Regions from separate parts of the Mus musculus genome. Here regions 2, 3, 4, 5, 6 and 7 are each reported to be linked to region 1. Evidence: microRNA targets listed by miRTarBase, many of them from high-throughput screens and not tested one by one. Region 1 holds a microRNA gene; each other region holds the end of a gene's coding sequence.
The links. The annotated mature microRNA mmu-miR-7b-5p reads UGGAAGACUUGUGAUUUUGUUGUU and lies in region 1 at 2,350-2,373, opposite strand. An mRNA with a match to its seed (bases 2 to 7 or 8) in the 3' UTR can be bound and repressed. Matches are read on the target gene's strand: a 7mer-m8 pairs with bases 2 to 8, a 7mer-A1 pairs with bases 2 to 7 and ends in A, and an 8mer does both.

Region 2: the mRNA of Fam53c is a reported target of mmu-miR-7b-5p. Seed matches in the 3' UTR shown: 7mer-m8 at 401-407 and 8mer at 1,562-1,569.
Region 3: miRTarBase lists Hadh as a target of mmu-miR-7b-5p. Seed matches in the 3' UTR shown: 7mer-A1 at 3,420-3,426.
Region 4: the mRNA of Wipf2 is a reported target of mmu-miR-7b-5p. Seed matches in the 3' UTR shown: 7mer-A1 at 707-713, 7mer-A1 at 762-768, 7mer-m8 at 1,692-1,698, 8mer at 1,727-1,734 and 7mer-m8 at 2,531-2,537.
Region 5: the mRNA of Megf9 is a reported target of mmu-miR-7b-5p. Seed matches in the 3' UTR shown: 8mer at 2,274-2,281.
Region 6: the mRNA of Atp1b3 is a reported target of mmu-miR-7b-5p. Seed matches in the 3' UTR shown: 8mer at 3,014-3,021.
Region 7: miRTarBase lists Kif16b as a target of mmu-miR-7b-5p. Seed matches in the 3' UTR shown: 7mer-A1 at 2,982-2,988 and 8mer at 2,829-2,836.

The regions. Positions count from the first base shown.
Region 1 is chr17:56,241,323-56,245,389 of GRCm38, reverse strand. It overlaps Mir7b (microRNA 7b), which reads right to left and starts at 2,402; the gene lies at 2,292-2,402. It overlaps A230051N06Rik (RIKEN cDNA A230051N06 gene), which reads right to left and starts at 3,674. Exons shown (of 2, transcript NR_155493.1): 1 at 3,576-3,674; 2 at 2,585-3,234.
Region 2 is chr18:34,770,587-34,774,653 of GRCm38, forward strand. Fam53c (family with sequence similarity 53, member C) reads left to right here. Exons shown (of 5, transcript NM_001357456.1): 5 at 12-3,174. The coding sequence ends at 272. Among named protein-coding and RNA genes, the nearest start is that of Kdm3b, 4.4 kb to the right of the region's middle.
Region 3 is chr3:131,230,594-131,234,660 of GRCm38, forward strand. It overlaps Hadh (hydroxyacyl-Coenzyme A dehydrogenase), which reads right to left. Exons shown (of 8, transcript NM_008212.4): 8 at 2,826-3,694. The coding sequence ends at 3,576. Among named protein-coding and RNA genes, the nearest start is that of Hadh, 39 kb to the right of the region's middle.
Region 4 is chr11:98,899,199-98,903,265 of GRCm38, forward strand. Wipf2 (WAS/WASL interacting protein family, member 2) reads left to right here. Exons shown (of 8, transcript NM_197940.2): 8 at 447-4,067. The coding sequence ends at 487. Among named protein-coding and RNA genes, the nearest start is that of Cdc6, 6.6 kb to the right of the region's middle. RefSeq lists an enhancer at 2,455-4,067.
Region 5 is chr4:70,429,690-70,433,756 of GRCm38, forward strand. It overlaps Megf9 (multiple EGF-like-domains 9), which reads right to left. Exons shown (of 6, transcript NM_172694.2): 6 at 2,238-3,842. The coding sequence ends at 3,391. Among named protein-coding and RNA genes, the nearest start is that of Cdk5rap2, 21 kb to the left of the region's middle.
Region 6 is chr9:96,329,862-96,333,916 of GRCm38, forward strand. Atp1b3 (ATPase, Na+/K+ transporting, beta 3 polypeptide) reads right to left here. Exons shown (of 7, transcript NM_007502.5): 7 at 2,794-3,833. The coding sequence ends at 3,663. Among named protein-coding and RNA genes, the nearest start is that of Atp1b3, 33 kb to the right of the region's middle.
Region 7 is chr2:142,616,354-142,620,420 of GRCm38, forward strand. Kif16b (kinesin family member 16B) reads right to left here. Exons shown (of 26, transcript NM_001081133.2): 26 at 1,992-3,563. The coding sequence ends at 3,405. Among named protein-coding and RNA genes, the nearest start is that of Kif16b, 280 kb to the right of the region's middle.

The sequences.
Region 1 (4,067 bases):
AGTCTATATAGTGTTATCCTGTTTCCAAAAAAAAAAAAAAAAAACAAAAACAAAATAAAAGCTGGAAGTATGACTTATCAATAAAAACCCTGCCTTGAATCTACATGTTTTCATCTTAAATTCTTCCTGGTATTTTTTCCCTGTAGTTGGGTTTGGGTCATGGGTTGAGCCCACACGTAGAAACCCCAGTAAAGGATGGGGGCCAGGTTCAGTGGTGGAGTCTCCTAGAATCACCCAGTGAGGAGTTGAGGGCATGGTCAGGGGTGGAGCCCCACTTAGAGTCCCCCAGAAGAGATCTGTAAACATTCTGTTTGAGAGTATCAGCCTTTCCTAAATAGTGTGGCCGTTGCAGGAGGCTGAGAATGTTAACAAAGTCTTGTCCTAATTGACCAGTGAGGTAACAGGAAGTTTCTCCCACCGAGCTGAAGCCTGGAGAAGGCAGAGTTGGTTATGGGAGGTTATGTGAGTGGACTGTGCAGACCCAAGAGAGGAAACTGCATGGACAAAGCAGCCCCTGGGCTGCTGTGTGACTGAGTTTGATGTCAGCTTTACACGGGTGGAGCTTAAGGGAAGCAGGAACCTCAATTGAGAAAAGGCCTTTATCAGGTATTTTCATGATTAATGATTTAAGGCCATTGTGGGTGGTGCCATCCTTGGACTGGTGGTCCCAGATTCTATAAGAAAGAAGACTGAGCAAGCCAGGGGAAGCAAGTAAGCAACCAGTAAGCAACACCCCTCTATGGCCTCTGCATCAGCTCCTGCCTCCCGGTTCCAGCCCTGACTTCCCTCAGTGATGGAGTGTGGCCATCATTGTAAGCTGAATAAACTCTTTCCTGCCCTTTTCTTGAGTCAAGGTCCTGTCACAGCACCAGGATGCACACTAGGACAGCTGGGGAGAATTGCACAGTGGGGGATGGTTAGTGACTGCATTAGAATGTCACAGATGATAGGTGTTGAATGTTAAGAATGCCATGACCCACCAGACAACAAGTCCACATTTTCTTGGTATCAGTCATGCAACTAGTGGTTGCTTTGTGTGGCGGGCACAGAGTTTTATTGAAAATTGGGCTGGGGCTCCATGGGTACCGTACCCAGTCAAAGCATTTGAAATTCTGAATCCAACACCGTGTATGCTAGGCATGGTTCTCAGGGACTGGAGGCAAGAGAACTCAGTGTTCAAAGCCATCCTGGGCTACATTCAGAGTTAGAGAAAAGCCTGGACTACAGGTGACACTGTCTCAAAGCAGGCAAAGTGAAAAGAGTGAGGAAAAGAAAACAAGAAAGAGAAAAGAATTTCAGGGTTTTCTAGAAGTACCTTTGATGCCAATCCCTCTTTTAAAAGTTTTATGGCCGGGCAGTGGTGGCGCATGCCTTTAATCCCAGCACTTGGGAGACAGAGGCAGGGAGATTTCTGAGTTCGAGGCCAGCCTGGTCTACAGAGCAACAGCCAGGTCTATACAGAGAAACCCTGTCTCAAAAAACCAAAAAAAAAAAAAGTTTTATGTATGCACATGCTTTTAATTCAAACACTCAGGAGGCAGAGGCAGGTGGATCTCTGAATTTGAGGGTAACCTGGTCTACAGAGTAAGTTCTAAGACAGCCAGGTTTATATACAGAAACCCTCTCTTTTTTTTTTTTTTTTAAATGTAATTCTTTTTTTTTTTTTTAAAGATTTATTTATTTATTATATGTAAGTACACTGTAGCTGTCTTCAGACACCAGAAGAGGGAGTCAGATCTCATTACAGATGGTTGTGAGCCACCATGTGGTTGCTGGGATTTGAACTCTGGACCTTCGGAAGAGCAGTCGGGTGCTCTTACCCACTGAGCCATCTCACCAGCCCCAGAAACCCTCTCTTAAAAAAAAAAAAAAGAAAAATTTTTATGTGTGTTTATTTATTTGTGTGTGGAAGCATGTGTGTCACAGGACATGTATGGTCAGAGGACAACTTGCAGGAGTTGGTTTTATCCTTCTACCCAGTTGATCCTGGGGCTCAAGCTTGGGTTCCCTAATTTCAAAGCACTCTTTCCCTCTGAGTTACTCCACTGGCTCACCATTCCCTATTTGAGTCTCCAGAGAAAGCACGGTGCTGTGACCCAGGGCCCTGAGGTTGTGTCTCTGATCCTATCATGTAGATGTGTTTGAGTGACAGGCCAATAGCATGGGAAACACTCCTGCACTCTCCCAGGGCCCGAGACCTTGCTAGACACCCTCTCCTGTCCGTGCTAGACTTCCCTTAACCCCCTCCTGTCCCAGTTTCCTGCCCCTACCTGTTTGTGTATTTCAGGAGAAAGGTGATAGGAGTCCACGCTATGAGGCTGGCTGTGACTTGTTGTCATATCATATCAGAACAACAAAATCACAAGTCTTCCACATAGCACTGGCTCACGTACTCCGCTCCTCGTCCTCATCCTCCTCCGCCAGGTTCAACACCCTCAAGTGCTTCTCTCTCTCTCTCCATAGAGGATTGAGCATAACAAACCCCACTCACTGACTTACCCTCCCTAGACATCCCTTTTCCATTCCATCCCCTGAGACACAGGCAAGATTCATTCTCTACCTGCCCCCCAACTCACACCCTGGCACATCACCAACGTGGGATTTATTGTTCCAGGCACGAGGAGCACACACTTGTCACCCCAGCACGCAGGGAGTAGAGGCAGGAGGATGAGAACTTCAAGATCATCTTTGGCTACACAAGGAGTTCAAAGCTTGGTCTACAGTGTTTTAAAATAATAATAATTATATATATAATTGAGAGAAAAACTCTTTTTAAAAATAAAAAGAACTTGAGATTTAAAGTTGGATTGAGGCTGGCTTTCCCCTCACCACTTCACTTTGGAAATTAGTACACCCAGAGGCACTCATAACATCTCGTTGACCAAATGCTTCGCCTGTACTCTGTGAGTTTGAAGCCAGCCTAGTCTACATAGTGAGTTTCAGAACAGCTAGAGGTACACACAAAAAAACCCTGTTTCAAAAAAGAAAAAAAAAATCCCTCCGTAAAGGACAAATGCCAAGAACCATTAAGAGGTTCCTTCCCTGTACACTCTCCGCCAGAACAGACCCCAAGGCGATCCCTGAAGCTGGGTGTTGAGAGCTTGGCACTGCCAGGGGCCGGGTGCTGAAGCCTAGTCTCTTCGTGACCCGCTGGGAGCTGTCCGAAATCCTGGTGCTGAAGCCGAACTCTGCTCCGAGTCCCTCAGCCGGATGGCGCTGTCCGCGTCTCCAGTGCTGAAACATAATTAGTTATTGGGGGAGGGGGTGGTCAGTGCGGCTCGAGGACACTCTCCCAGCTTCTGCCTTCTGCCAAAATGCCCCGCTCCTTGTTTCTGTTCTTCGTCCTAGGGACCCATCTTCTGTTTTAATCTCTTCCCATGGACCCGGGGTGTTCTAGGCGGGGACGAAGGCGCAAGGCTCTCACCTGCTCCCACATCTCAGGGAGACAGCCCTGGGTTCTCTGCCCTTCCTAAACAGTCCAGTTGGCCTTCTGGAAGATGTGCCAACTTGCATTGTACCCAGAGTCCCCGCTTCCCTCCCTCAGCGCACCTTTTCCTCCTTCCTTCGTGCCTTACCTTCTCCTGCTCACCAGCAGCTGCAGGTGTCTCGGTGGCTGTCCAGTTTCCGACGTTTCACCTTTATGCGCTTAAGGGGAAGGCGGAGCGCTGGAAACCCTGGGTGGGGCTTAGCCAGTGAACCAATAGGAATCGTCTTGGAATGAAGCTCCAAGGATTACCTCATAGGTTGAGGCCTCGGCTTCAGAATAAAAGTCAGGCATCCGTCCAAAAACTTCTTTAGGGGTCTCCAGAAGGTGTCAGGGTGTAGTCCTGTGGCCTGTTAAGTTTCCACGAGAGGATCATCTAAAACCTGATCACTGAGTAGCCAGAGGATTAGCGATCATCAAGCGTGTGCCTGCTGGGACAGAGAAGCTGAAAAAAAATGTTTGAAGAAATTGAGGGATTTTGAAAATAAAGTCCAATTCTACACAGGGAAGATGAAGTGTGCGGGAATGAGACTCACAGAAGCGTAGGATAGAGGCGGAGCTCTGGCGATTTTTGTTTTGTTTT
Region 2 (4,067 bases), not on the chromosome of region 1:
TTTGTTGACAGAAACCATACTCAGGAGGTCTCTGTCTCCAAGAAACAGCCCGAGAAGAAGGCAGCAACGTCTCTCCACCATGGTTCATGGCCTGTAGTCCCCCACCTCTCTCTGCTTCCTGCAGTCCCGTCGAGGGTTCATCCCAGGTGCTGAGTGAAAGCGAAGAGGAGGAAGAGGGGTCTGTGCGGTGGGAACGGCAGGCACTGAGCAAGCGGACATTGTGCCAGCAGGACTTTGGGGACCTGGACCTGAATCTGATTGAAGAAAACTAAAAGTGAGAGGCTGCTTCCTGGGCCCATGCAGACTGTGTAATGGTTACTAACACGTGTGAGGGCCCCAAGGCTGAGGGCCCAGCCTGGGAAAGGGGGTGAATGGAGGGCTCCTACTCAGGGCAGCCCAAGTCTTCCTGCTCCAGCAAACTCGACCATGCCAAGAGACTGGCGGGGACAAGATAAATGGAGCTGGTGACGGGAGGGACAGCCCCAGAGCAGACCCTCCCCATGGCGGCCCTGAGTGTGAGTATCCCTGCCACTAAGAGCAATGGGCAGGGAAGGAAGGGGTCTGCGACCCCAGCTCGGGGAATTTCACTAGCCCCTTTGCTTCAAAGGGCACTTGTGTCTTAGAATTTGGCCAGGGTGGGGGGGTTCAGTCAGCCTCCTCGGAGAAATTGTGTGAGTGTGCGTGCGTGCACGGGTGTGTACTTGTGTGAGTGTGTGTGCGTGCATGGGTGTGTACTTGTGTGAGTGTGTGTGCGTGCGCGCATGGGTGTGTACTTGTGTGAGTGTGTGTGTGTGTGTGCATGGGTGTGTACTTGTGTGAGTGTGCGTGTGTGCACGGGTGTGTACTTGAGGAAAGGTGCGTGCGTTTGTATAGCCTTAGGGAAGGAAGGCAGTTGCTCCTTTAACAGCAGAGCGTCAGGATACCCCCAGGATCTTGTGGGTTTTTTTGTTTGTTTGTTTCCTTAATATAACATTGGGCTTGTTCAAGGTGTCAAGAGGAGAGAGTTTTTGTTTTTGTTTTTGTTTTTTTTTTCGGTCTTAATAGCTCTGGAGCCAGGCTTTTAAGTTCATCGCATCACTGCTCTGTAAATGGTTCTGTTTTGGGGTCTAGCAGAATCTTTTGAGTACTATGATTTCAGCTAATGGGCTTTTCTGAAGTCCCGCCCTCTCCCACTAGATGAATCTAGTATTGAGGCTTGAGGCAGTCCCCACACTTGTTGTTTTCATTGTCTAAGCTGTCTGCAGCCCGCTTCTCTCGCTTGCTGAGAAGCTGCAAGCAGATGGACAACTGAGGCAGAGCTAAGGAGCTTGGGCGCTCTCCTCTTCCCCAAGGGGACCTTTCCTTTTCTGATCTTACAAGTCAGAGACAGGGTTGCTCTCCAAGAATGTGTTGAGGCAGACCAGGAGCAGTGACATTATTCCCTGGAAGTCCTTGAGGCCACCCTCAGCACTGCCTTTTGGAAGCTGGCTGTAGGGAAACTTACTCTTGCAATATCTAGGCCCGGTCTCTCTCTGATCTGCTTGAAAAAGAGGTAGGGTGTTCAGCATTTAATAGTTTGCTTGTCTTCCACACTTGCCAGGAAATGTTTATTTGCTTCTAATTGGCCCTGAGAGACCACAGAGAGGCTGGGGCTCACCGAGGGATTGACTTGGGGTGTGTAAAGCAAAGGCTATGAGAAGCAGCTGGGAGTTTGTTGTTGTTGGATTGAATTTCTTTTTTTGTTTCTCACCCACAACTTCAGCCAGTGCAGCAGATCCAGTGGTTGGAGGGATGGACTTGAAGATTGCAGTTACCTTGGTAGGGTTGGCACCTGTGGGCATGCATATAGAAGCTGTCACTATGCATCCTGTGAGGCTTTGTTTAGAACACCCTGTATAGCGAAATTGGACCTGCCCTTCCCAGTTGTTATAGTAAGGGCACTTTTCTGTTCAATTTCCATGGTGTCTTAAGGCCCAGTTCCTAGTGTTACAGAAGACAACTAAGGTCATGTACTTTCTTCCTTGTGGAATTGAGCCTGATGTTTAATGTCTCCCACATGCTAATAGGAATACTATAGAGGCGTCAGACTCTTTGCCTCCACTTCAGGGGAGGTGGCCATGTCTTCTTAAACCTGTGGCCCTCAGAGGTTCTACCTTCTCAAGGCTCCTCCCTGTCTCCTGGCTAGTTACCACATCTTACCACTGGGCTACCGGTCTCTAAGGGCCTACGAGAGACTCTCCTGAGAATTCAGGGAAACTGAGCCCAGGAGTTATCGTAGGTTTCATCTTTCCCTGGTTCTCCCTCTTTGGTCCATAATTTCCCTGGTGCCAGCTTCTTTTCCACCTGGGGCAACCTCATCCCTGGGCTCTCTGCTGCAGATGGCAGTGTCAGCCTCCAGTAGGTCACTGGCAGTGCCAATGGGGTCTCTGCGGGCCCCAAGTTTAAGTGAAGGCAGTGATTCTGCCTCCAACCTGGCTTTCCCAAAGCCCTTAGGTCACCGCCCTTAGGGAAGGAGGCCTACAATTGTCATATTTTAATTCCATTACTTTAAGTCTGGAATGTTAAACTAGGCAGAACTATCATCTTGCTTCCCAGTTTAAATGCCTCTGGCCCTGGAACAAGCCTTTTCAAGACGTGAATCGTTGGTTTTACACAGTAGCTCTGCTCCAACGGTTCTGTGTAAACCAAACGCTGTTTTTTAATGCATTTGGACTGCTGACCATGTAAAGGCAGCCTATGTTTGCTTCTTTTGTAAAGCAAGCAACTTCCCTCTACTTTAGCCAGTTTCATCATTTGGGTTCTCACACAGTGGGCTTACCCAGAGTGGAGCACACCTCCGGGGCTTGTGGCTGCTGCTGTGTAGACGCCTGCATCTGTGCTGCGTGTGTGGTGCGTGTGGCTGGCCAGCAGGTGAGTCTTACTGCGTGCGTGAGTGAAGCCACTCCCAGGCTGATGCTCTCCTCCTGTGCCCGGTGACTGCCCAGTGGCAGCTCTAGCTGCCCTTCATTCCCACCTGCTGCCAAAGTCCCTGTGCTAATGGGATTACAGAAACAAAAAGTGGAAAAAAATTTTTCGTAAACTTTGTTTTATATTAAAAAATCCATAAGTCTGTGTGTGTTAAAACATGAGGTTCTGCCTCTGTGGCTGTGTTTGAAAAAATAAAGTTTTATTAGAATAATCCATTTTCCCAAGCAACCTTGTGTACGATAGTGTCTTTTTCCCTTATATGTGCACATGTGTGTGCACAAACATGCACACACAAACACAAACACATAGAGGGAGAGGAAGAAACATTCCTCTTAATTTAACTTCATTGCAGAAGGGCAGTATCTGGACACTAGACTCTGTGATCAGACTCTGTTACCTGGGATTCTGTCGATATGGCTTGGTCCCTATTTCCCTGGTACTTAACACAGTCCTTTTCTGACATCATTCCATTTTCCAGCTAGTTAAAGTCAAGTACTAGTACATTCCAGTTCCCTGAGATACGCCTCATGGGATGGTTAGAAACCTGCCTGAGCTGATCCGTAGGCTTTGGGAGAGAACGTTTCTTCACATGCCAAATCCTGGAGAGATGGAGATGTAGTCATCAGAATTTAGATTCCAAGGACCTGGGTAACTTCTTCCTCTTAAAAATCCTGTTTGCAGAATTATTCTAACAAGCAAAGCTCTTTTGTCCTAAAAAGGATACCTTCTCTAATGCTTTTGTTGTTTCCTGAATCCTGCCTTTCCTATCCTGCCCTTCCTATGTTAACATTTTCCTAATGTGTATGGATGAAATATAGCTACTGAGCCAAGCAAGGGCCTCTTTCTATACCAGGTATAGGAAGAGTCAAGTTGCGTAGTTTACATCCTTTCCTGCTTCCCATTTGTGGTACTCATCTTGGAACACCAATGAAGTGTGCAGGGCAGGACTGGCCTTGCTACCTGGAGCAGGAACCTTTGCATGAAAATATTCCCCAGAGTGGGAGTTGCCTCCTGCCCTGGAGACAAAGACGGAGGAGTTTTGGAGATGGCTTAAGGGGTTGAAGACTGTAACTCTTCTGTTTCACCTTCACCAGAGCAAGGGATGGAATTTTAACAACTAA
Region 3 (4,067 bases), not on the chromosome of region 1:
GGCTTCCTCTGCAGTGGGTCTTTTTGCACTCCATAAGACAAGCATCATCCTTTGAGATCTGACCATCAGCATCCCCACGGAGAGGTTCCGACTCCATGTCCGCCTTACCCAGAACATGGAGATAAGAACACCTCCGGGTTACTCAGGCAAAGTGAGGCTGAAGACCACAAGCCATTGGGGTCCTTTCAAAGCCCATGGCATGAAGAGAACTGACAATCCTCCAACAGCTCCAACTGGTGGGTGCAAATAAAACCCACCATCGGTGCCCCCGACAGCACTCTATCATCCATGGTGAAACCGTGCTTTGTCATCTCAACAGGGTAACTAAGAAAAGGTGACAAGACAGGTGGGGAAACCCTGTGATCATGACAACCACATCATTAAAAAAAATAGAGCTGGGCAGTGGTGGCGCACACCTTTAATCCCAAACAGCACTTGGAAGGCAGAGGCAGGCGGATCTCTGAGTTCGAGGCCAGCCTGGTCTACACAGTGAGTTCCAGGACAGCCAGGGCTATACAGAGAAACCCTGTCTCAAAAAAGCCAAAAAAAAAAAAAAAAAAAAGGACACCACCAAGTGGGTTTTTTCAAAGTATGGTGTTATAGCTCAGCTGGCAGAGTGCTTGTGAGGCACACAGTATGTCCTGGGTTCGGTTCCCAGCACCCAAAGGGCTAGGGAGGCAGTAAGATCAAGGTTCAAGGTTATCCTGGGCTCCATCTGGAATCTGAAATCAGCTCAGGACACGCGAGTCTCTGTCCCCAGGTGGGGAATAAGAGGGACCATAACAATGATGCCATCACGCAAGTGTTTTTAGATTACTATTTATGTTGCCCCAATGCTTGTTAGCAAGAAAAATTTCCCCGTGGAATTACAGCCACACCTTGTATTTTTAATAGACTTAAGTTACTTAGGTTGAAATGTTAAGGGGATTAAAATTAAGGTGGTTCAAACAAAGGCCCATGTCACGTGTATGAACAGCTTAACTCACCATGAGCGAGCACCACCAGCGTGCACTGGTGTGTCAGCCATCCCTCACGTGCTGATTTTACTTTCTTCAGTTGCAGGCAGCCCGATCTCAAACGAGTTCCTGGAAGCTGACCTTAGCCAGGCTTAACCACCTGGCCGAACCCAGTGACGAATCCCTTTATAAAAGGTTTTGAGTGGCTTTGTAGGATGGCCCACATCAGTCTTGAATTCACAATCATCCTGTCTCCACCTCCCAAGTTCAGGGATTACAGGCGTGGACTACCGCACACTTGGCTGACACCAGCATTTCTCGGGGTCAACACCTGCTTCCCCGTGACCCCCCGCTACATCAATCAACAGTTCCCTAGAAACAGACCTCAGACCACGTGTCAGTAAATTAAACAATGCCCCCCCTCAGTTGCTGTTATTAACAATAACAATAAATCTCATGGACATTAAAAGACGGTAGGTTTGGTTCTGTAACATGTTTGCAAAATAATCAAAGAATTTCCTTTGAAATTTTCACTTCTGTTGGCGGAATTAATGTCATGGAGGGGTTGTGGAAGGAAATTTTTTTAAAAACCTAAAACACTGTATTGATTATCAAATGCTATGAAAGATCCACATACTACCATTAGGAGGCAACTTTAGAAGCTGAGAACCAAGGCTCACCCCCAACAAGGGTGACCAAAAGCAAGATAAGACAGCTCAGGGATGGGAGTCCTACTAAGGTTGATTTTCAGGCAGAGCCATGGAAGGGCACAGGAGACCACTCCCCAAGTGCTAATTGGAGAAGAGAAGACTCCAGGTCCCTCCTGGTCAGTCCCCCAGGACAGAATGCATGGGAAAGATATTATACAATGGCAAAGGAGTTGAAGGATCCAAGTGCATTTAAAAGCACCCTCCAGAAACAGCGCTCTGCTCCTGCCCACCCTGGAAGCCAACAGTTGCACTATTGAGCATTCGCTCTTTCCTGAAACTTACTGGCTAAGAAAGAGTTGGGCCATTTTCAGGATGAGTGCCCACATCCTCTGTAGACTCTGGTTAGAGGGTGACAAACTGAAGCCTGTGGGCCAGAGGTCACAGCAACGGTTACGAGCTAGCCTGAGAACAAGCAGAGCTGTGAGGCCACAGGTGACCTAGAAACGGCGAGGCAGACTCCCTGAGCCGCTTCCCTCCCGGGACCAGGCACTGTGCAAGGCCAGCCAGGTTCTCGTGTGCTGCTAGGCAGAAATGCATCTCAGCGTGCACTCTCTCACTCTGTCATCCACTCAGAGCATTGAAAATGTGTAGGTTCTCTCTTAGCACACACAAAAGAGGAAAGAGAAAAACAAGAACGTCAGGATGAAACTATGACCTACAATTACCTACCTGTTCTGGGGAAGAGCTATCTGAGAGCTGAGATCTGCATGTTCAGACTCATTCTTTTGTCTATACCATCAAAAATCTAGATCTAATCCGGAACCTGGTACTGAATATCTGATGACCTTGGACTCATCCCTTAAGCTCTCTGCTAATGAAGCCACTGGACATCAGGGCTTCAGATGTCTTTCCAATTCCACATTCTATCATGGAAGACACTCTGTCAACCCAATGATTAAAAGAATCTTATGTTACGTTGTTTGACTTTGTTGGCAAAGAAGAAACAGATGTTCTTAAAAACCGCTCTTTGTGCCCTTATGACTATTTTACTGGTAAGGAACGTGGAAGGGCCAAACACAGATCTGTCTCTCTCTCACACACACACACACACACACACACACACACACACACACACACACACACACACGCCCCCCACCTTTCTCTCCCTCCCGTGCTGTCACTTCAGTACCAGCCAGAGTTCAGAGAAGACAGGCCCATGTTTATAATTACTTAAGGATTTTATGCTTTTAAGTTATATAAGTTTATTTATTCCGATTCCAATGTTTACAAATTAAAAGATTTCATTTTAGTAGAGTCAATTCATAGGCACTTGGTAGCACAGATTTCACCGGAAGAAACAAGAAGGACGGACAGTGATGGTTAAGATCTGAATGGCCTCAAAGATAGGCCTTTCCCCCAAAAAACAAGCTCACAGGTATTTGCCCACCACTCCAGGAGTCCTGGTGTGGGGTAAAGAAAGACAGAACATTTCCTGTCAGGCCCAGAATGTAGGCTAAGGCTCGAGGCTGCAGGCTGCAAATGTTCCCAGGCAGGCAAGACCTCACGTCCTACTGGCTGCTGCCCTTGGGTGCATCTGTAGGCCCCGTGGCTCCTGCCCCTGGGGTTCAACACCGATAAACATAGAATACTCATTTTCAGAAGACCTGAGGGAATGAGTCTAAGCAACGCTTTTTACAAAAAGTGGCAAGGTTCAGGAAAAAAAAAAAAAAAGATGTTGCTCCAAGGCACCAAGGGTGTAATTTTTTTTCAGAAAAAGTCAGAGAACAGACTAAACTAGAGAATTCCATTTCAGTGGAAGAACCCCATGACTGCAACTAGTCAAAAGATTACTTCAGAGAGACTGCAAGGGAGGGCCCACTGAGCCGCCCCTGGCAAGCCTCGGTACCACCTGCCCAGGGCTTGCTCATCCTTGTCCCATGGCTGGCTGGAGGTGTTGCTGGGGGAAGTGTCACTTGTATTTGTAAAATCCTTCTCCGGTCTTCTTGCCCAGCTTCTTCTGGGCCACCAGATTATTCATGGAAGGACTGGGCTGAAATAAGGGGTTCTCTGGCTCCATTTCATGCCACCCTGTTGAGAGAAAGGGCACAGGTTCACTTAGGTTCTGATCTTCTCAGGGCATGCCTGGGGCACAGAATCCATGCAGGCCAACATGGCAGAGGCACCAGGCAGGCTGCACGGGTACAGCCAACATTGACTCTATAGCAGGCTTGCTACTAGAAGCCTAGCTCCACTGGAGGGCTCCCTGTCACACAGGACTCCCTGCAAACCAAGGCAAAGACCTAAGAGCACAAACAGAAACTGAAAAGAGTTTTCCACATCCAAGCTAAGTCCTAGGTTGTTCCCGTAGGTAGTTTGCAGCCTCATATAATTTTAAATTTTCTAAGTCAACTAAAACAACCCTTTTCCTCCCCCAATATTTAAAGGTTTTGGTGAAATACTG
Region 4 (4,067 bases), not on the chromosome of region 1:
AGATATATAAAACATTCACATACATTAAAAACAGATCTTAGCCGGGCGTGGTGGCGCACGCCTTTAATCCCAGCACTTGGGAGGCAGAGGCAGGCGAATTTCTGAGTTTGAGACCAGCCTGGTCTACAAAGTGAGTTCCAGGACAGCCAGGGCTACATAGAGAAACCCTGTCTCGAAAAAACCAAAAAAAAAAAAAAAAAAAAAAAAAAAAAAAAACCAACCATAGATCTTTAAAAAAGAAGGGGGTGGGGGGCAGAGACAAGCAGATTTCTGAGTTCCAGGCCAGCCTGGTCTACAGAGTGAGTTCCAGGACAGCCAGGACTACACAGAGAAACCCTGTCTCAAAAAAATTAAAAAATTTTAAAAAAAGGAGGCTGTCTCATTTCAGAACTGTTCTATCCTTGGGCGCGTGCACTGAATATATTTATCTTCTGTTTTCTCTCCAGCTGCCCGTGGAGCCCCACCTCTCCCACCCATTCTCAGGTGAAGCTTGGCGTAGTCCTGCTCCTCAGGAAAAGGATGGACCTCCTCTTCTCAGATGGCCTCCCAACCCTAATCCCTGCATGAGAGCTCCTGCAGTGTTTCTCCAGTGCAGCCAACCCAGGCTCTGAGCATCCTCCAGCCCAGCTCCATCTATGCATCTCCTCTCTGGACTCGGTGATTGGACTCTTTCTATTGGCAGTAGGGTCTACTCCCATCTCCACCTTCTTCCAGCAAGCCCTGCTAGCCAGAGGAGGAGAAAGCTTCCACGCCTCCTGCTTTCTTCCAGGGAAAGGTGCCTTGTTGTGGTGAATGGACTCACATTGGGCAGGGCAGAAAGTGTAACCCCTGTCTCTGTCATTCACCGAGGGCGAAGTGTGGTGTGTGCATTATAGCCCATAGTTTAGGAGGTTGGTGTGGCCAGAACTTCTGAGGAGAGGTGTTCCATGATGCAGGGAGGGGGTTTGCAGAGAAGTGATCTGTTTTAAAGGTCGGGTTACAGAAAGGACAAGGACATGGGTCTTCTTCATTTTCAAGTGTTTTGGTTTTGTTCTCATCCCCTTCCCCCATCCCAAGAGATGAGCAGTGCATACACACTAAGTACTGATCCGCTAACTAAACGGTAAAGGGCACGAAGCAACGGAGGGTCATTTCAGAGCCAGTCAGCTCTTGTGCAGCTAAGGGCCAGGGCTGTCCGAGCTCTGGGACCTCCTGCCCCTTCCCCAGGGTGCTAGGCTGAACTGTGTCCCTTCCCGATCCCACAAGAGAAGAGCCACTTTGTTGAGGGCATTGTCTATTCTCAAGTCACAAACCCTACAGACTTCCTATAAGACATGGAAAGATAGGGCCTTAGCCACAGCCTCCTGATGGCTTCAGTTTTTTCTGATTAACCCTGAAGTGGCCAGCAGCCTGAGTCCTTCAGCCCTTGGGGAAAGCTCCAGGGAGACTTAAGAAGGGAACCGAAGCCCTGGCTTCATGGGAGTGTCTGGCTCTTCAGGGCCAGTAAGGTCTTGGCAGCCTGCTCATAGCGAGACTCTCACACCCATCAGACGGCAGGCTCTTCCTGTTTTCTCTGCCACCCACCCATACCTTACTGAGACTGCAGGGTTTAAGGCCACAGCGTAGAAAAGGGAGCTTCAGGAGGAATACAGAGTCCTGTAAGCCAAGCACAAAGACATAGGGAGGCATGCCGCCCGCCATCTAGGAGGTGGGTCTTCCCTGGCGGCCAGCAATACATCGTTTCTCAGTCTTCCAAGGTGTAGGGAAACAGCACAGGAAGTGGGTGTTCCAACGGAGGCCGCTCTGTTGGCCAGGAAGTGTCTCTTCTCCACTAGCAGTGTGGGGCGCCTGAACTCCACACCCAGAGAAGTTGGTTTCTGACAGTCCTTGACCTGGGCACAAGCTGCTCAGATCTTACATCACGGTAGGGAGACCAGGCTGTTCTCTGAGTTGGGTAGGGGAAGCTAGTGAAAAACTTCCAGATACACCATGGGGTTAAATTATCGTAGGGGCTGTCCTTTTTTTTTTTATTATTATTATTATTTTTATTTTTATTCTCCGCCCACCCCACTCCACTCCCACCCCCTAAGACAGGGTTTCTCTGTGCATTCCTGGCTGTCCTGGAACTTATTTTCTAGACCAGGCTGGCCTCAAACTCAGAGATCCCCTGTCTCTGCCTCCCAGGTGCTGGGACTAAAGGTGTGCGCCACCACGCTTGGCTCATAGGGACCTTTCTAATCTAGTGGACCATAGGCTAAGGATCTGTGTGTAATGCCAGGTCAGACCCAAATCTTCTAGGACTGGAGAAAGTGGACCTAACTTAGTTCATTTATTTATTGAGTGTTGCCCATTGCCAGCTCTTGGACCACTTGGACTTTTGGGACAGGCAGTGGTTAGATCTTACCGGACTTTTAATTGTTCACTATTTATCTTCTTCTCAAATCTGTTAGCAGTTACGCTCCCAGCATCCTAACTTGAACAAAGGGAAGAGAGGGAAAAAAAGCTGACACTTGGAGAGTTCCAGGGTAGATTCTAATGGTTGAACTGTGAAGTCTTCCCATTTGTTGTTGAAATGGGAGCTGATGCCTTTTGTACAATGTTATCAAAGTGTGAAAATTTTCCCTTACTGAAGCATAGACCATCAGATATATGCGTGCGTATTTATGTATGTGTATATATATATATATGTATATACACACACACATATAGATTTGTATACACACACATACATCTACTCACAAAGCCAAACCCGGGCTTTTTGCTTGGGCTGATGGTACCTTCCTCGACTTGACCTGCCACCCTTTCTAATCCCCAGAATCAGACTGTGCCGCGTGGGTATTGATGATATATTTTCGTTGTCTTTGCCTGGTGGAACCACCACCAAAAAAAGGCTTGAATTTAGATCTACATGAGTGAGTTTGCTCCTCCAGTTAACGGATTGTGTTGATGACACAACCCCTAACTTAAATGTCTTTGCCTTATTCATCATTTGGTCCTGCTGTTAATAACAAATTTATTATCATGTATATTTGCTATTGAAGATGGGAGTGTGATCCTCAAAATTGTTGGTCTGTTTTATATATTGTACACAGCTTGTAATGCAGGTTTAAGGTAGCCGGGCTGTGAAAACCCTGACACTGTTCCCCTTTAAACTGTCCTTGATGTCCTCATGGGAATGTCGTCTCTTCAGTGGAAGATTGGGTGGTCTCATGTTGAGGCTATTACTTAGTCCCTTTAATCCCCTTGTCCCCTCCCAAAGGGGAGAGACATTGCCCAGCTAAGCAGCCAGAAGCTCTGTCACAGCTTTCGTGGTATTTTTCCCTAGTGGGAAACGCTGGATGGCTGTTTCTTACTGCCCTGCCCTGTCAGGCGGTGGTTCTGATTTTCAAATGAGCTAGATGCTCCTCTTTCCCTTTCTCCAGTCACCAAACCTGGACCAAAGTACTTCATATTCCAGGTGTGGGTTCCTCTCTCCTGGGATTTGCTGCAGCTGCAGAGCCCTGCCCTTTTCGCAGCCTTGGCCACTTGTGTGAGCCACTAGGGCCATCCCAGCCTGATGGACGGGAGGCGGTCCTCACCAGGAATTCAATTCATTCCCTGCCCCCTTTCCTAGCCTAGGCAGAGAAACTAGTCACTGGCCATTGCCCTGGGGGAATCCCCTCACGCAGTGGCTTCCCATCTTAGAACCCGGACTTACCTCCAGGCGGAGGTGAGGGGTGGGGAGTACTGTAAATAGACTTGCTGCAGAGCAACTCAGGGTTGGGGTATGTTTGAGTTCTCCTGATCACTTGAAAACTAATCTGTAGGCTGAATGCTTCTGGAGTGTGGGGGAAATGTGACTCCGGGGTCCTTTGTCCTCTGAGGCTCTGCGGGTGGAGGGTAGGACTTCAGAGGCCCTTTGATAGCACGGCTGCGCTGTCTGCCCTTCTGGAAACCCAACCTGCCATCAGCTGTAAATCAGATTCTTCACATTCCAGGTGTAAGCTTTCCCTTCCCTGTGACTCTCAGTCCCTAGCTACATGGTCAGGGGGACTCTGTTAAACCACCCAAATTTAGGGAATGAGAGGGGAGAGAGGAGGCCATTAGGA
Region 5 (4,067 bases), not on the chromosome of region 1:
ATGGTGAATAATAAAGCTCTAACTGACTCTTATTCTAAACCACAACATCTTGATGATCAGATAACTCAAATTAACTGGTAGACCAGTGAGTATTGCTTTGATGACTAATGATTCTGGAAATATTGGGACTAGGGAAAAGTAATATAATTTGGGATTTAGATAGTCTTGTTAAAAGAAAAAAATGAAACAATAACAACTAAAAACCAAATCAAAACAACAATAAAAACCTACCCTCCCAGCCCATGTCTGTCCTGTTGCTCTCCCTTAAAATCTAAGTATCCCTGGGAAAAATAATGTACTGGGTCCACACCATGTTCATATAAATAAGAGATTTTAATTATCATTTTGCTTTCTCTGGAGAGACTGTAAATAGGAGAGTCCTTGGAGGCAATGTAGGGGATGGTGGTGGTAAGGGAACAAAGGCATGGTTGACAAGTACAACATCCACCTTCAGAAATGCACAGGACTTAATCAGGGGAGCTATTGAAGGCGCAAGCATTAGTTCCTTCCTAGCACTGACATCCATTTCTCATTAAGGTCATGTATGTAGTATATTTTAAAAACAACATTTTCTTTATGCTTAGACAAAAATTGTTCCAGCATCGGGCTTTGCAGAGGACTCGTGGCATTGGGTGATAATGTCTCCAGAGGAATGAAAACCCAGCAGCATGTTTTATTCTGGTTTCCTACTCTACTTTCAAGGAGAGATCACCTCATGGTTGATCTTTACAACAAAATAATTTGTATAAGCAGAGCAACGGGGTCACTAAATGATGTTATTTACAACACATTTTAAGGCTATAGCTTTTTTCATTGTGAAAAACATGATTTAGGAGCAATTAACAGGTACTTGATAAATTTGTGGTTTAGTTTCTGTGTTATCTCTTAAGATCTGTATCATGGAATCTCTATTTAGCTGGAATCTCGACTGTTTACTTTGGCTCTTAAACTCATATAAACATTTATTTATTGTGTGAACTGTTTAACAAACGTTTGGCTTTTATCTCCTTTCCACTTATTTTGGCAGGAGATGGGGTATCTGGGAGGCAGCCATTGTGCTCAGCACTTTGGAACTCTGTGATGTATAGTCAATACACACCTGTGCTGCAACTGCTAGGAAAAGTCTCTCTGCTCCCCTCCCCAATTCAGGAATTCATTCATTTTAATGAACTGGCAGCTTTACCTTCTCGTCATTAATCTTGTCTTTAGGTAGAAATCCATGTGTGTTCTTTCAACAAAGTCCTTAGTATCTATGTGGCCCTGAATTGTGCCTGTGAGTTACATACTTCCCCTACCCCAATATATACACATGGTATGGCGGGGTGGGGGGGGGGGTAGTATTCTAGAGAGCATACAAGGGCTCTATTAGAAGCATCCACAAATGGGAATTTCCATTCCAGTCTTCTAGGGCCCATGGCTAGTAGATTTATATGTATCACATAGCAAAATGACAATGAAGTAGAGGTGAGAACTGATTCCAGGAATAATAATGATGATGTGCATGGTATAGCGCTGAACAACTTAGACTCTCTGTGCCTCAGTTACTTCATCTATGAAATGAGCACAAGACTACTTCCTAAGGAGGCTAGGGTGAGGATCAAAGAACACATGGAAAGGTGTTTTTTAAATGACAAAGGGCAAAATATTATTAATATATTTTGTAATTCTAAGGATTAAACTCATAGACTCATATGCTAGGCAATCAGTCACTTGTAAATTGTTTTAGTACAATGAGATGTAATGTCTACCTTTATAAAGACAGCCAAAAATGCAGAGCACACCCAGGTTACCTATGGATCCTCTAGTATACAGTCATTTCTAAACCCTGAGAAAAAGGTGAGGTCTCCTACAAAGGATGACCAACGTCTTTATTTTTCTGAGGAAGTAAGAAAAGGAGTCTGAGCTTCCTAGGTCTACTCTGTTTTGTTTTCCCCTACTTCATAGTCTGAGTCACTTTTCTTGGCTCTCAATCTACAACCTATGGATGCATAACAAATGAAAGCAGCAGTACTTGGCCTCAGGGAAAATGGCATCAAAAAGCAAGGACTAAATACACACCCATAGTGACCCTCTGCCCAGATATGAAGATGGATGAACTCCAGCACTGAAGAAGCCAAACAGTCCTCATGGTGCATGGGTGACAGGTTATGCTCAAATGTCAGAGGCCTTTATTTTGGCAGATATGGGAGGCACATAAATATTTTATGGGCATAAAAACAAGAACCCCGAAGTGATGTGATGGCTTTTCTTTTTAATTTAAATTTTCTGTCCTTTGGAAGACTGTCTTTTACATTCAGGAAAGAAGTCTTTTCCTGAGGAGTTTACACTGAGCAGTGTAAAACAGAGTGGCTAATTAGGTGTGTCTGGAGAATGCAGCCTGTGTTCCAGTTTCGCAATTGCAGACTTCAAAATCTATTGCTTGAATCTATGGTAAGTCAAAGAGCATATGACTCTAGGTTGAGAGAGGAAAGATTAGAAACATTTGACCTCTTATCAATTTCAACAGTGTCCAAATAGGGACTAAAATGACTGATGCTCACCAGAGTCCCAGCTCTAGCAATATTGTCACCTATTTTACAGTATTTTAACCAAGTTCCCATATCTTCTTTTTACAACACCATTAACTGCTATACAGATAAAGTCTAGATGATAAAATAGGACATGATTTTTTACAAATAGATACAAGTACAATGTTGACCAGATAATGCTACATTAATTATGTACACCTTGTTTCTTTAGAGGCAGGAACCTCTTTGAGGAGACCATCAGCTTTCTGCTCTCTGCCTGCTGTGCCTACCCTCACCATGGAAGCTTATCCTGTGCTTTAACTCCATTTTTGAAGGAGACTCTTAGAAGGAAAGCCAAGCCCTTCTACAGAACTTCTTGGCACCTTTCTTAGTCTACACACAACCAAGATTTTTTTTATTAGCCTAGATATCATCTCTTCCTAAGTTACATCTCTTAGTACAGTAAAATGAACACAATCCCTGCCTCTCTTTTATAAAATATGTTTCCAAAGTGGAGATGAATTCTTCCATCAGTCTTTCCCCTCCACATCAACATTCTATCACATCTGGTGAGGTGAACACTTTCCGAGCAGTCCTTTGAGAGGCCAGGTAGACTTAGGCTGCTCTGTGGGATTCAGCCTTTCCATATATACATGTGGTTTGCTACAAAAATATACTTTACTTCAAGTCCTCGATGATGAGTGCTTCAGATCTTCATGGGGGAATTAAGAGCAACAGACAGGCTAAGCGCACTACAGTTTGTACCTGAACATTTGCACAATACCTTTCTCAACAAACTCTACCTAGGCTCTGTGCAGCCAGAGGTCAGGTGCTGTTTAAGTGAGCACTGTTTTCTGACAATCCAGGAGGACAACTCAGCTTCTCAGGCTTTGTAGTTATGAATAGGTGTTGTCAGGGTCAGCTGCCCATTGGGAGCCACTTCATTGGCATCGTCCTCTAACAATCCCGACACATCTGCATTGGGGATGCTGTCATGGTAGCTGCTGAAACTGATATTGTCTTCTTTCAGCTCGATGGTCCAAAAGGGAGCATTGAGTTTCCGATTTTGGTACTCTCGGTACATGTACACAGCTCCTACAAATCCCATTAGCAGCACTACCACAATGATGATGACTGTCAAAATGATGATGTTAAACTGGGTCCATGATACATCAGCAAGAGCTGAGGTGCTGTTTTCAGAAGAGCTTACTGCAAAGATAGTCTGCAGGGTTGTGGGGGCAAAAGTACTATTTATAACAGGGGTGGGCACTGATGTGGTCAAAGAGGCATTGGAAACCAAAATGGTAGAACCTTCAGGAGTTGGAACAATAACTTCTGAAAATAAAAACAGAGAATGAAATGTAAAAGACAAAATTATCTAGTTTTGAGAAACAATAAAAGAAATACACATGAAAGTGAAAGTTGATATGGAATGTTGACATGGTACTCTGCTTAGAGGAATGCAAGTTAAAAATAATTTTTAAATAAATACAATGATAAGAAATGGAGTCTGGAAAGCTCATTTATTACATCTTACATCCAGGTCTGTTCTTTAATGTG
Region 6 (4,055 bases), not on the chromosome of region 1:
ATATAAAACTTTCCAGCTCCTAGACCCACATAGAAAACAGCTTGGAACTCTTTTTAAAAGTACCCCCAATTTTTCCTTTCATTAGGAATATTACACTGTTTCAAAATACCACGATTCAATCAACTAACGGACACCAAACCTTCTCCATCTCCTGTCCAGTTGGGCTAAGTGCTGGGCTCAGTGACTGAAGTGCAAGCTGACTGGGTCATCCTTTTCTGTGGTCTGAGGGAACAGCCTGCAGAGGAGGCTGCTGGATCAATCATACCACGCCAGAGAGCGAAATGCACAGACAACATTGTGTATATCCTACATTCTGAGGAAAGCCTGGAGCAGATGCCAATTGGCCTATGGCTCCCATTCCCGGTCCACCTTATTATCCACAGAACACAGACTCAACTACCCTACACTCCTAAATCCACCTCATTACCCACAGGACATAGACCCAGCTCATTCTGCCTCCCAAAACATTTCCACAATAGATCCAGAGGGACATTTGGAATGACCTGTTCCTGAGCACCACCTCTGCCCATACCCAGCGCTGCCATCTGTGTAACCGAGCTAACTCCTAGGCCCTCTCTTGTTCCCTTTGGGTTAATGAACTCGAATAGGCTGTGTCCTTTCACTCAGTATGCTTCAAGTTAAGCAGGCACTCCTAAGTTCAGCAGATGAAAAAACAAAAAAACAAAACAACCTGAAGACTTGAGGTCAGCTGAAGTCACATGGCAGGACTGGACCAAGTCCAAAAACTGAACCAGAAAGAAAACCAGTTAAGACTTAGGATCTATGCCCCAAGTCTTCAAAATCCACCTCGAGATGACAGCTTTGCTCTCGGTTACAGATCTACTCTGCTTTAAACTTTTTAACTTTAGACGTTTTGTCACGTATGTGCATGGCGTCTGAGGAGACCAGAAGAGGATAGAAGGATGCCCTCTGGCAGTGGAGTTGTGAACCACTTTGTGGGTGGTTCTGGGAGGTCCCCGCTGCTCTCTGCTGCCTGTCTCTCCAGCTCCTGCACTCACTCACTAGCTCCGAGACTGCAGCCCCATGTATCTGGGGTCAAATCCCGTGCCTCATACATACTCGGCAAGCCCTGACCTAACATCCCCAGGCCTTAGGCTTTAGTTAAGTTCACAACTATTTAATGAAATGGTGCCTGAGCCAAACCTGCCGACTCAGGATCTGCCCTACTGTCGGCACCGCTCGGTTGCAGGCCTGCCGTTCCTACTCCGCAGACCAGGACAGCCTGGTCTCACAGAACTGTTGCTCAGGGTGATGTCTGGTACGTGTGCCAGGCTACAAATTATCCATCCTTACTTTACTTTCTCAATATGAACTGGGAAGCCGAGGCAGGATGGCTGTGGTGGCTTGAGTAATGGCCCCAGAGGCTCATATATATAAATGCTTAGTCGCCAGGGAGTGGCACTGAGAGGATCAGGTGTGGCCTTCTTAGAAGAAATTGTCACTGAGGGTGGACTTGGAGGTTTCAAAGGCCATGCCACTCCATGTTTCCTTCTGCCCGCAGATCAGGGTGTGACGTCACTGCTTCAGTGCCTGCCCGCTGCTTTCCACCAGAGCACCTCTGTAACTATAAGCAAGCTCCCAAATGAATGTTTTCTCTTGTAACAGCTGCCTTGACCATGGTGTCTCTTCCCAGCAACAGAACAGTGACTTAATCCAAGGCCATGTGAAACCACCCAGCAAAATCAAGAGACAGAAAAAGCACAAAGGAAAAGTCCAAGTCCAGGAAAGGTCACCTTTAAATTTTCAGGCATCACGGAGTTTTGTTGATGACAAAGTGGAGAATGTCCACCTCCAAAGTACAGCGGTGCCACCTGGCTGGCAAGGCCACCTAATTCCCTCAGCTTTCCCACATAGCCAACCTGAGACAGTTGGGTTCTTGCCCCACCAGGTCTGGCTTGCAGACCACTGAAAGCCTCAGAATGTGGCTCTGCACCATCCATGATAAAAAACAGCTCTTAGAAAAATGAGGATAGCCGGGCGGTGGTGGCGCACGCCTTTAATCCCAGCACTTGGGAGGCAGAGGAAGGCGGATTTCTGAGTTCAAGGCCAGCCTGGTCTACAAAGTAAGTTCCAGGACAGTGAGGGCTACACAGAGAAGAGAAACCCTGTCTCGGGGGGGGGGGGGGGGGGGGGGAATGAGGGGGCTGGAGAGATGGCTCAGTGGTTAAGAGCACTGTCTGCTCTTCCAGAGGTTCTGAGTTCAAATCCCAGCAACCACATGGTGGTTCACAACCATCTGTAATGAGATCTGATGCCCTCTTCTGGTGTGTCTGAAGACAGCTACAGTGTACTCATATACATAAGTAAACATAAAAAAAAAAGATAATAAATGAGAGATAAAACCATAAATGAGAAGCTGGAGACAGCTCAGTGGTTGAGCTCTCCATCCAAGGATGTAGGCTTAAGAGCAAGTACTTACATGACCGCTCACAACTGCCCTGAGTCACAGGGGGATTCAACACTTCTCTGGCCTCCACACTCACCGGGAGCTCAGGCAGCTCACATACATGCATGCTAACCAACCAAACCAAACCAAACCAAACCAACAAACAAAAAGCTTTCATTCAAACATACATACATACATACATACATACATACATACATACATACATACATACGTGTGAATGAAACCCATGGGTCAAATGGAGGCCCTCTCCTCAGAACAGAAAGGGCTCCAGTTACTACAGTTCCAGCAAGAATCCACCCGAGACGACAAGGACAGTCCAGGGCTCCAGTCAGGATGTGAAAGAAGACTCCATCATGTGTTCCAAGTTTTAAATCAGTTTGAAGTTTTTGTATTTCACAATTTGTTTTTATTAGGGTCCACAGTCTACTAAATAAAAGCACTTAACAAGACAGTTTGAAAAACTATACAATTTATATCTTGGGAATTTCATTCATTCAAAAAACAAAACAACAACAACAACAAAAATCGGTGCACATTCACCTAATTTAAATGCTGTTTCATCCCTGTGTCTAAGATACCCGAATGTGGAAGACTTGATTCCAACACTCAAAGTCAGCCCAATAGTATTTTTAAATATGTACTACAACAGAAAGTTTGTCCTCTCAGCAAAATCAGATATGGTCTAGTTCACCTTGTAAGAAACAGTCTGGAGCATACGGACAGGCACCACTCACACATGCGCAGAAGCAGAGTCTACTTTCAGATCCACTTTATTTTCCTTTTCCCTCCTCACATACAGAGCTTCTCAGACATTTCTTCCAGCTAAAGTCACTCGATGTTGGCAAGGTACCATTGTATCCCTAAAACTTTGTTGGCATCAAAATATGCAGTTACCAGTGTTAAATCCATAAAATATGTACACAGCCCAGCACATGAAGCTTTAGACGTTTGGCAATTACACACAAAGAAGACAGGGCCCCCACTCTGCATGTTTGGGGTCGGGAGCTCACTGGTCCCTGTCTGGCGACCGTACATGGGTTCAAGGGCAGCAGAGGCAGCAGGCAGTTACTTCAGAGGACACTGAACACTATGATCTGGAAGCATGTTATGATGTCACCCAAGTGTGTACCACACCACTTCCTCCTCCAAGGTGGCCTCATAATCCTAGAATGGCAGGTCCAGCTGATACAAAATGGCGACAACACAACATGAATTCTGTGGAGACATCCTATTCCTAGGCTCGTGCTGTGACTTTGAACGAAACACGTCCCAAGAACTTGTCACGCTCATTCTTGTTTTTTAGGTTCCTGGTTCCAGCAATATGGCACTCAACTGTTACTTCTTTCTTGTTAAGACCAGAGTCAAATTTGACCTGTACGGCAACTAGGGGCTGTCGATATCCAACCTAGCAAATGGACGAACAAACATTAGTTCCAATTCTTTGGTAACTTTGCCTGCACTCAGGAAGTCAGTTTCAACTTTCCTTTTTTTGAAGCAGTCTTAATTTGTAGCCCAGGCTGATCTCACATTTCTCAAACCTCTGGCTTTAGCTTCCTTCCAAGGTCAGGGTTAATAAACATGCCCCGAAGCACCTGATCTACTGTGTAAGATTAAGTCTTTGAACTTA
Region 7 (4,067 bases), not on the chromosome of region 1:
TGATGTGGCCCACTTGACAGCCTGCCCCATCCGTCTGTCCTTCTACCTAGACCTGCTTCTGACCCACTGCTAGCTGCAGACCTAGTCTGCCCTTCAATCTTAAAGCTGAAACCTGCGGCTTTGAACCCAAACTCTAACTCCAGCAGCAGCTGCTCAGGATACTGATCTGGTTCTGTATCCATACAGACCCCGCCTACTTCTGAAGCCTCTTGAACTCTGCTCCAGCTTCTTTAACCTGAATTCACTATGTAAGCCATATATATGCATAAGGACATCTAGATATACTTACTGTGAGCTTATGAATTAACAGTAGCAATTAAGATAAAAACAAAAGAACCTGTATTTGCCTCAGCCAAGCAACCACAGTAGGGCAGGACTATATGACAAATTGCTGTCTTTGAAACTATTAGCCCTGGGCAGTGGTGGCGCACGCCTTTAATCCCAGCACTTGGGAGGCAGAGGCAGGTGGATTTCTGAGTTCGAAGCCAGCCTGGTCTACAGAGTGAGTTCCAGGACAGTCAGGGCTATACAGAGAAACACTGTCTTGAAAAAACCAAAATAAAGAGAGAGAGAGAGAGAGAGAGAGAGAGAGAGAGAGAGAGAGTCTATTAGCCTTGTGAAGTTACTGCTACTCAATAAATTCTGACATTATAGAAGGACATAAATATGTCTTGTTACTGGTATACTATGTTCATACAATGCAGAACTCACAATGACATCCATCCGACTACCATGCCCTGATCTGAGGTTGGGAGCTGCGGCTCTAAGGCAGCTCCTTGGAGTACTGGACATCCACTGGGTTCATCCATGTGCTATATCCACGATCTCTGCCCAGATCCTGATAGAGCCTGTGTAGCTGATCAGAGGCCAGGCTGAGCTACTTTTTTTTTTTTTAACATAAAAATGTTAAATTTCTACACAAAAATTTAGATCTAAAATGATCTGAGATCCAGGAATCCTGTTTAAGCATTTCTATATCATGATGAGAGACTCTTGTAGGCTGCAGTCACTAGGAGTTGACATGACTACTGTTCTGTTCCTATTCAACGTCAGGGTTGAATCTGAACTTCATAATGAGAGGGCAAGGTCTGTGTGGGAGCCCAATGGAAGGTAACTGTACTGTGATTTTTAAACAAGACAGAGGAGTATTTATTTTGTAAACAATGTCTAGGAAGGCATGCCACCTACTTTAAAACAGAAGTCCCCCAGATTTGTCCAAGTAACAACAAAGTGTAAGAGGATGACTTGTCAGTCTGAATTGTGACAGTGGCCACTTGGTATCCAGGATGCTTGAAAGCACAATGATGCATACATACTTGTTAATTAAATTTCTTTTACTTCTTTAAATTAGTTCAAGCTGCCCAGGCTTCCGTTTTGTCAGCTCAGACCTATCATCTCTCCTATTGTTAGCTCAAGAGGAACTCCATGATTCCTGTACATGGAGGTCTTCAGCTGGACCAACCGGAATAATTAACCCCCTGCTGTAACCAGAGGTCCAAGCGGGAGCTAGAATCATCTCAGAGAATAGCTTTGTTTTCAGATGGGGCCAAGGTCTGGGTGGATGGAGTGACTGGTCCAGGCCTTTGCTGGCTTTAGCCAGAGCTAGTCAATACTAGGGCTCTGAGCACTACCATGCATTTGATACAAGGAAGATCTCCTTGTGACTGATCATCACAAATACACTCTTTACTCTTGCCAAATAGCACACGTATAATTTTAACAAAATGCTCACCAAGAGCCCACCTTTCAATATAGGCCCCAGAGGGTGAGAGACATATTAATTATCTGGTCAGTTGAAAAAAAAAATTTACTCAAGCCAATGAGGGATAGTTTTCAGCACTTGAACTTCTTTTAAATAAATGACCCATGGTTAATTTATCATCTCCCAGTTTTTATCCTTTAATCTTTAGTTTTAAATTCTTGATAGCAATTGCTATGAAACCTAGGCCTATAATCGAGACTGGAGAGAGAAGCATACACTTCTGAGGCAATTAAATAAAGAGTCCGTTTTATTTTTTCATGCTAAGCTATGATATTTAATTAATTGAATATTAGTCTCCTCCTTATAGGGCTAGCTGCATCTTCCAACATTCTTGTGAGCTTGGAGAGATCTGCTGTGCGGGCATGTTCTAGAAGACTGAATGCAAGCATGTTTTGTTATCCATTCATTTGTGACTTCAATCATAACTGCATTTTCTGCAACATAAATGCTAAATTGTACAATATGCCTCTTTCTAAGCATATCAGGTCAATTGTTAAACAGACCAGTAGAAATGATCATATTACAAACTTAAACTGAACTACAGGGTATAGCACATGACTTCATTTAATATTGATAGCAGCTCAATTTAACAGTTGAAAAAGCAAACACCTTTAATAAATTTGGTGTGAATGATCATATAGCCTGATATACTATTGTACAGGAGTGTATACATATAAATCTATATGTTGAATTATGTACATTTCAATATATACCACAGATTTTTCCTACTCACAATTTTCTTTTGATAAAGGAAGCAGTTTCACTGTACACGATGTGAAATGCTACATTATGTCCTGAGTAATTGAGGGATTATTAATAAACTACTGAAAATTCTCTCTCTCTTTTTAGTTAATGATCTTGAAGGTTCTGTACTAAAACATGGACAAAGGATATTTAAAAGATTGCATCCAGCTTTGCACTTGTTTTATGCAGAAAAAGCTAAAAAATGAACAACAGCCTTTGAGGTTTGGGAAAATGCCCTCAAATAGTGAAGGTTAAACAATGTCTTATTTGTAGGGATTTCTGCAAGTTTCTGCAATGTTGCCTACATCCAATTTGTCAGGCATGGAAGACTCTTCTCATGATTGGCCTACAGATCCTTTTTACTGAACAGGACATTCTATGTAAACGTCAGTATTTAGATATTATTAAATCCAAATCCAAATGAACAAAACAATATGACATAACTTAAAACATCTTTGAAACCTAGCCAGCCACATGGAAGAAGTATAAAAAAAAAAGCATATTTTGGTGAAAAAGGAAACCAGATGAAAGTCACTTAAGGGTGGTCTGGTAAGCCACCCACAATGGGAAGTCCCAAGTTGGCTTGGCTCTAGGAGTCCCTAGATAAGCAAGCCACACATCCATCCTGCCACAGGGGATTGACTTGCTGTACTATGGGAAAGGCCACGTTCAAGTGCAGAGGTACAGTAACAACTGTCAATCAGAGTTGCCCTTGGCAGGCAAGCACCCACTCCCAAACTCAGGCACTAGATATGGTGTGAGAGGTGGTCTGGGCTGGCTGCTGCATGTTGCCACAACTGGAGGAGGCAAGCTGGAATCCTGGTGCAGGAGTCCACTCTGCATCAGAGTCTATTTGATGAGAAGGCACTGTGTTGGTGGTTCCTTGGTCGCCACAGCTCTACCCTGTCCCATGGCTGCTGTAGTCAAAAACTCCTTTCTTGAAGAATGGTGAGAATTCACAAATGGTGTGCTTGGACAGGGTCAGTCCCACTTTGTTGATGTGAAGGGGAGATGTCTCGGACTGGAGCATCACACTGAAAAACTCCCTGAGGTATTTCTGAGAAGAGACAAGAATGAAGATTATGGTCAAGACAGTGCTACAGTCAAGGAGGGGAGAGAAACTCTCCTGTGTACCCCTGGCATGTATAAACACTTACTTCATCAATACCACCAAGGAGAGAATGCTCCAGAGGTCCTTGACCTCCTGGGCTACTGTCAGCCTGTGCAGAGTAAACAGAGCAGTGACATCCAAGCCCACAGTAGGAATTTCTTTGGCTCAGGTCTCTAATCCACAGAAATGTCACCTGATGTCCATCTACTCAGTGCCATGAGGAATGCCAGTCATGCTAACCCTGGGCATTTTCCCTATGGCAACTTTACCTTACTTAAAATGTCATTGTCCTCTAAAGCTTCACACAGGGGGGTGGGGATGGAGGGTGACCATCTGAGCAATGTTAGCATTTGTATCTTCTTTGAATCCTATGTATCAAATAGGATCAGCTCCAGGCACTAGTTTTTACAGAACATTTAAAAACTTTATAATCATCATCAACAAAATATT